2 linked regions of the Rattus norvegicus genome follow. The protein of the gene in region 1 interacts with the protein of each later gene in a biochemical or structural test. Links are inferred from orthologs where the notes say so. Each region holds a gene or a part of one and is shown on either strand. Other genes may lie near its edges.

Evidence for each region.
Region 2: the proteins of Blnk (region 1) and Cd79a form a complex in vitro, tested with the Homo sapiens proteins (2 studies listed by BioGRID). The link is inferred for Rattus norvegicus from reciprocal best matches to the Homo sapiens genes BLNK and CD79A.

The regions. Positions count from the first base shown.
Region 1 is NC_086019.1:249,708,002-249,711,815, reverse strand, and holds part of Blnk (B-cell linker protein), read left to right. Parts: intron 1-1,060; coding exon 1,061-1,144; intron 1,145-2,758; coding exon 2,759-2,914; intron 2,915-3,814. UniProt on the Homo sapiens protein: Functions as a central linker protein, downstream of the B-cell receptor (BCR), bridging the SYK kinase to a multitude of signaling pathways and regulating biological outcomes of B-cell function and development.
Region 2 is NC_086019.1:89,620,541-89,624,454, reverse strand, and holds the start of Cd79a (B-cell antigen receptor complex-associated protein alpha chain precursor), read right to left. Parts: upstream 2,996-3,914; 5' UTR 2,971-2,995; coding exon 2,901-2,970; intron 2,531-2,900; exon of another isoform or gene 2,403-2,530; intron 1,313-2,402; coding exon 1,019-1,312; intron 806-1,018; coding exon 687-805; intron 1-686. UniProt on the Homo sapiens protein: Required in cooperation with CD79B for initiation of the signal transduction cascade activated by binding of antigen to the B-cell antigen receptor complex (BCR) which leads to internalization of the complex, trafficking to late endosomes and antigen presentation.

The sequences.
Region 1 (3,814 bases):
TAAGAGAGACCTCACCCCATTTTTTTCTCATGTCTATTACAGACGCCCCAAATAACAGTGTTTCTTTAAAACAGTGAGGGACGTGTTGTTTTGGTTGTTATTCCTCTCACATTTATTTAAACTTTATAATTTCCTCAGAATAGACCTGTGGAGGCCTATATCAAACAGAACAGCATAAAGACACAGAGAAGGGACTCTGTGTGCCCTTGAAGGTGACAAGTGAACAAGTATCCTTATTTGTCAAACTCCAGTAAGACAATATCACTGCACAAACATGAAGATTTGAGTCCCTTTTCCAACACCCCCCCCAAAAAAACCCCAGAATAGACAAAAATGCAATGAAGAGGGAGTGTGATGCTGTCTGTGTGTTTATAATCCCAGCACGGGAGAGACAGAAAAGGAGATCCCCGGGATGGGTGGCCATCATCCAAGCTTAGTCCTCGAGGCCCCGTCTCAGTGAGTGATGCTAATTCAAAAAGCAAGGTGGACAGGTCCTGAGAAGGAACATCTAATGTTGATATCTGACACACTTGCATACGCGCTTGTGTGCACAGGCACTCCCGTGCACATATAAACACACGCACACCGAAATTAGGAAGCACTCTATGAAGCCTCAAGAATAAAACACGGGTTGGGAAGATGGCTCAGCAGTTAAGGGCACAGGCTGCTCTTCCAGAGGACTCAGGTTCAATTCCCAGCAACCACGTGACAGCTCACAACTGTCTGATACTCCAGGATCTCACAAGGATGCAGAGACATACATGCAGGCAAAACACCAATACATATAAAATAAAAATAAATAATTTTTATAAAGACTATTCGCACAATGAGAAAAGAGTATATAATTCATTCAGGAGGAAAGTGGTTCAGGAATCTAGTGAGGTTCATTTATGTTTTAGCACTAAATTTAGCAGCGAATGCCAAATGGGAACGAGCTAGCCATATAATCTCTGTGGTTGGCCAAAGCCCAAAACTCATTTTAACATTACTGGTAAAGATGTCGATTATTGTTCTGGTCTTTTTACCAGCTCATGTTTCCTAACGCTTTTCTGTCTCACAGGAGGCTGAACTGCACGGTAAGCCCTGGTACGCTGGCGCCTGCGACCGCAAGTCTGCTGAAGAGGCCTTGCACCGATCCAACAAGGTTTGGGCACCTAAAAATCCCACATCCGCGCCCGCGGTTCAGCATAAATGCAACTAGTTGTTGCGTGGGTTAGGTGCAGGGGCTATTTCCCTGTACTCCCCTCCTCCCCGCTCGTGGGAGCACCCGTTGTTCTTTCTTCTCCTTCCTGTTTGTTTTTAATATCAAGGCTCCAGGGGGTCCACTACCCTCAAACAATGGAAAGTAGCGGGAGGCCGGGAGGTCTGGGGAAAGACCTGATGCTGCCAGAGCCCAGCTTTGGAGGAGGGAGGACAGGCTATTTGGAACCAATGAATGGGGCTTAGGATATGGACAAAGAAACTACCTGGAAATATTGTTTTGAGAGCTCAATATTGGGGACAGATGGGACAGTGGAAGATTAAAGTTTCCTTTTCACTTCCTCTGTTCTCCCATTTTTTAAAAAAAAACCTCAAATCCCTGTCAAAATGTCAGCTGGTGAGGGTTCTTTGCTCTGTTTAGACAGAAATCATCCGCAGAGCAGAAGACTATCTCCAACGAGTTAAAGTTTTCCTCAGTTTTTGCTTCCTTCTAGTCCAGCCCACTCTAGTTAGGGGGAAAAATGGCCGCCTTTTATGGGGCCCAGCGCCGCACACGGTACACTAGGGAACGTGGCCCTGGAGAGAGACTGCGGAGCGGAGCGGGTATGGTTTGGAGCAGCAACAACTTGTTTGTATGGGCCAATCACATCCTTGCTTTCTTTTGAACCAACCACTGTGGATCTCCTTAGCTAGTCCACCGGGAGAAGGGATAGTGCTTTGGCCGAGGTGGAAGTGGCTCCAGGGCTGCCTGGAGGTTGGGAGGTTAACCCTTGTTGCTCTTTCTGCGAGCCCTGGTTGACTCTGCAGCCTTTGGAGCCAGGACAGTCAGCCGCAAGGTTTTCAGTGTTGTCCCCAGGCCTCTGTCACTCTTGGGTGGTCATCACAGTCTGGCCCACTCTGCTGTAGTCCATTTTAAATGCTGTGGCTGTCTCCGTGGCTTACTTCGGGTCACACATTAAATCTATTAGACCTTACTTAGTCCCCGCGAAACCTGGCGAATTTTGTACCTTTGTTTCTGAGATAGATCTTTTTGTCTTTTTCTTCAAATTCCTCCCTATGGGTGAACACCAGTTGTTGCATTTCTTCTTCTTATCTTAGGTCATGTTTTGTCTATAATTTTTAAAATGTATGATTCTAAGCTATTTTAATAAAATATTTAATACACATTGAACTTTTTAATAGTTTTTCAACTTCAAAATAAGTCTACCAAGGTGAGTATTTTCTTCAGCTAAAAGCTTGAGTTCCCAGTTTAGATTTTTGCTTAAGGAACTTGGAAGCATAGGCTCTCATTTGAGAGACTCTCGGTTTGATCTTACCTTTTCCATGTTTCTGAATCCCAGGGAGCCCAATACCTCAGTCAGCACGTTAAACACTAGTGCCGACTTTGAGTATCCATTTTAATAAGCAGTATTTTTGGAAAATAATAAATTCCAAGCAATAACAAAAACACGGAGCTAAGTAAGTAATATTTTAAAGTGATAAAATACTCTTCACAAACTGATTTCTAGCTGAAGGAAATTAACTAATACGATCACTGTGCTTTACTCTCACTGAACAGGATGGATCATTTCTTATTCGGAAAAGCTCCGGCCACGATTCTAAGCAGCCGTACACACTAGTTGCGTTCTTTAACAAGCGTGTATATAATATCCCTGTGCGGTTCATCGAAGCAACCAAACAATATGCTTTGGGAAAGAAGAAAAATGGCGAAGAGGTCAGTAGCTGTTATTTCTCCATTTGTTTATTTCCTATCTTGAGATAAGAAAATAGTCACAGTCATAACAGGTAGCCTAGGTGGGCCCAAAACTCCTTAGCCCAGGCTGGCTTTGAACTCATAATCCTCCTGAGTTTAGGATTGTAGGAGAGGATCACTGTGGTTGGCTGGTAACTTCTCTTTAACCCAGCTCTATGTCTACCCATTGAATACAGTGGTAGGATGCTCTATTAGACGCCAGAGATCAAGGAAAGAGTGTGAAAGTACTTAGCCTCAGGGCTGTATATATGTTTATATGTTATAAGTAGAACATAAGAGGAAAGGCCATGGTTTGAAATACTGTTTAATGTAGTATACGATGTACATGGTGTAATAGTATATCTGATGGGAAGTCAGAAGAAAGTGTGATGCATACGCTAGTATTTTAGTTTAACTTTTAAATTGCATATGTCTGTGTGTATGACGTGCATGTTGGGGAGGTATGTGGATGCCCAACACTAACATTAAGGAGTCTTTCTGGATTGTTGTCTACCCGATTGCTTGAAGCAGGGTCTTTTGATTGCATATGGCTAGTCTAGCTAGCCACTTGTTCCAGGTATCCCCTGGATCTGTCTTCTGAATACTAGAAGTACATGCAGGCCACTGTGTCCACCTGGCATTCTTATGGGCGCTGGGGATCTGAACTCCCATATTTTTGTTTGCATAGCAAGTGCTTTGTCCACTGAGACATCTCCTCATCTCCTAGTTCTACCCAGTAAGGGAAATCTGATAGGATTATTAGTCCAAGAAAACCCATAAATGAAAGTTGAATTGCCAAAGCCAATTAAGGTTGTAAGAGTCAAGGTCATGAACTATCGTTCCAAAATCAAGGCCTGGGAACTCCACTCTGGTACTGAGTTA
Region 2 (3,914 bases), about 160 Mb from region 1:
GAGCGCTTGCCTAGCAAGCACAAGGCCCTGGGTTCGGTCCCCAGCTCCGGAAAAAAGAAAAGAAAAAAAAAAAAGTGAAAGCAAAGAAAGTCCAGGAGATAGCTCAAGCTGGTAAGGATATTGCCATGGAAACCTGAGGACATGAATTTGATGTGGGGAATCCCACAGTGGAAGGAAAGAATCAACCCCTGAAAGTTGTTCTCCGATTCCACACTCGAGTGCCCACGTACACAACAACAAACCATAAATAAGGTGCAGGACAATGGTGGTGCACACCTTTCATTCCAGCACTCAGGAGGCAGAGGCAGGTGGATCCCTGTGAGTTCGAGGCCAGCCAGGGATTCATAGTGAAACCCCATTTAAAAAAAAAAAAAAAAAAACAACGTCTTGTAGCCTAAGGAGAAGCAGGGGCTCTGGGAGGACACACCTCCTTCCCTGGTCTTGGCTGCATTTGCAGGGGACTCCCTTTGGTGGGTCAGCAGGAGAGTGAGAGGGTATCTGTGAGGGCCGTGGGGACAGGCTGACCCCACTAGAGCTCAGTGCCACTGGAAATCCTTTTGGGGGTTACTCCCAGCCTCCCAAACTTTGAAGGAGGAACCTCAGGATTCAGAGGACCAGCTGGACACTGGGAGTCACAGTCCAGGCAAGCCAAGATAATTTGAGGGTGTCGCCGTGGAGAGACTCACCCTGAAGAGCAGCAGCGTCCCTGGCACCACTGCACAGAACAGCAAGATGATCCCTTCTGCCGTGATGATGCGGTTCTTGGTGCCTTCCCCCATGTCCAGGAAGGGCCTCGGGACTTGCTCTGTGAAGACAGGGTGCTGCTTAGTGTTCTGGTATCCCTTCCTCTCCCAGCCCTGCTCCTTGCGAGGTCAGGGAACCCTGAAGCCACCATCTGGCAGGTGACCTGCCAGGGTTACAGGTTGCAGGTCCAGGAGGGAGGAGCTGGCTCTCTGCTTCCAGTGTTCTGGATGAGCCGGAGAACAGAACTCCAGGGTCAGTGCCCCTCCCTACTCACTGCGCACTCGGAGGTAAGTGCCACAGGAACGCTTTACTTCTTTGCTCTCTATCACTTGGCACCAGTACAAGCCCCTGTGGCTCTTGTTAACTTCGGGGAAGATCAGCTTGCCCATGGGACCCAGGCCAGGACCCAGTGGCATTGGGGGCCATGTGCTGTTGGACTGGAGACTGAACCACCATGTGATATTAGGGTTCTTGCCGTCGTTCTTACAGGTGAGGACGGCCTCCTCACCCAAGTTCACCGTCAGGGATGGTGGATCCCTTTCTAACATCAGGGCCTGGCATCCAGGACCTGTGGAGAGATGAGAGGAGACAGATGGGTCAGAGCCTGGAGATGGAGAAGATTGCTCCAGCCCCCTTCATGCCAGCTCTCTCAGGAGTGGAGTCTCACTGGTGGCAATGGTATCTAGAATAAGAACAGACACCGGGGGACACGCCCTATGGCCTCTTTCTTCCATTTCCCCTTTGCATTTTGTTGTTCCCCCAACCAGCCCAGGGACTCTCTCTGAAGACCATCCCGTTGGTCCTCATTCTTCATAACCCTTAGGAACCTCCATGGGGAAGGGGGTGGAGATGGGGCACACCTTAGACCCAGGCTCAGCAGTACCCAGCCTATTGGAAAAGGTACTAGAGCCCAATTCTGTCCTACCTCCCCGAATCTGTCCTTGGCTTGGTTGTTTAGTTTGGTTTTGTGCCTGGGTCATTTCTCATCTCTGTAATTTAAGTGAGGCAACCTGCCAGGCAGTAGTGGTACATGCCCCTAATCCCAGCACTGCAGAGAGTGAGTCAGGCAGATTGCTGTGGGTTTGAGGCCTGCCTGGTCTAACAGTGAGTTCTAGGACAGCCAGGGTGGCATAGAGAAACCCTGTCTCCAAAAACAAAACAAACAAGACAAAGAAACCAGTGTCGACCTAGGCCCTGGGACGGAGTTCTGCCTGGGGCATCCGAGGAGGCTTAGAGAGACAAGGGTGGACTGGTGGCCATGGTGTGGGCTCTCTGTGTTCACCTTGAGTCACTCCCACCCCACCCCTGTTCTCAGCCACCTCAGCAGCACACTGGCTTATAGCCCTGTTTCTGGACATAACAGGAAAGAGGAAGGTCGGAAGTGAGGAAGAAAGAAAGGGAGGGAAAAGAGGCCCCAGCAAGTTCCTGGTCTCAGGCTTAAGACTCAAGACAGCAGGACTCCAATCCCTGGTCCCAGACCTTCCCCTCTGAAAACCTGGGTCAGTGTGTTCACAGGGGTGGCGGAGAGGAATGGAGCACCTGAGGAAGCATGTCCTCCAGACGTAAGGCAGAGGAAAAACAAACAAACAAACAAAAACTGTTTCCCCTCACTGACACCCTTTGCTACCTCCATATCCTCATGTTCAGTCAACACTCACCTCAGTTCCTCATTCTCACTTGTGGAGCTAAGGTCGTGTGTTGTGGAGCATGGTAGTCTTGGTCCTAACAGACTTACTCAAGTCTCCTCCAGCCTGTGGCTCAGTACAGAAAGCTGTCCCTGATTCCCCCCCCCCCCCCTTCTCCTTGTCATTTTGGGACAGGCAACCAGTAAATTGCCCAGGTTAGCCTAGATAGAACTCATTATGTAGCCCAGGCTGGACTCAAGCACAGTATTTCTGCCTCCTCAGTTTCCTAGAGTTCAGGCATTGCTTTAAGAGTTGCGCTGCTGGTAGGGGTTGGGGATTTAGCTCAGTGGTAGAGCGCTTGCCTAGCAAGCCTGAGGCTCTGGGTTAGGTCCTCTGCTCCAAAAAAAAAAAAAAAAAAAAAAAAAAAAGAGTTGCGCTGCTATGCACCCCCCTGTCTGGCCATTTCTGACTCCACTCTGCACCTTTCTGTCAGCCGCATCCCCCACGGCACCTTCCCTTTGGTCACATTACCCAGGCAGGCTTCGGACAGGAAGAGGAGGAGGAGAGGCAGGGTTCGGAGGACTCCTAGACCCCCTAGCATCGTCTCCCAGGGAGCCGGTTAGTCTGGGTGGCGGTAGCCTTGAGGTACCAGATTCCACTCCAAACTCCGCCTCACTTCCTGTTCAGCCCTGCCGGAGATGGGCTCCAGTGGCCCTTACTCCTGGCCCTTTATTTGCCATCTGGTGTAGGCCCTGAGTGGAGAGGAACTGCCCTGCACCTGGCTGGCCACAATTCCCTTGAGTCTCTAGTGCGTGGGGTCGGGGAGAGGCTGGTTCAAGGCCTGGTTCATGGTCACGGGTGCCTGCTAAATCCACAGCTGCTCTGGACTTCGGCTTCTTTTCTCACTAACATTGGGTAAAACATAGCGCCCTTATCCGCCCTTTTCTTTCTAACCCCACCCCTTTTCTCTCGCTGTTCGTTTTTTTGAACGGGTTTCACATAGCCCAGGGTTGGCCTTGAATTCACCATGCAGGTCAAAGTGACCCTTTGTTTATCACCACCTTCTATTGTTTTTAATTGATGGTTTATTTAATGTCTGAGTGTTCACATACGTGTATGCATACATGTATGTATGTGTACCGTATGTGTATGTGTGTGCCTGGTGCTTGTGGAGGCCAGAAGAGGGCGACAGATACCTTGGAAATGAAGTTATAAGTTGCCCCACTGGGAGCTGGGAATAAACCCTGGTTCTCTGCAAGAACAGCCAGTACTCCTAACTACCGAAGTCAATCCCCTGCCTCTGAAGATGCTCTTGAAATCCTGGTCCTCTTGTCTCTGCCTTCTTCTGAGTATTGTGGTTACAGATGTGCTCTACCATGCCTCGCAAAATTTTTCTTTCAGTGTAAGTGATGACCCCCGGGGGACTCATGAATTCTAGGTGAGCTCTGCCGCTGAATGACACCCTAGCCTTTAAGTTCTTTTATGTCCTCTCAATAGGGCAGAGGCCATCCTCCACGTGATGGAGGAGGAAATGGAGACTCGGTA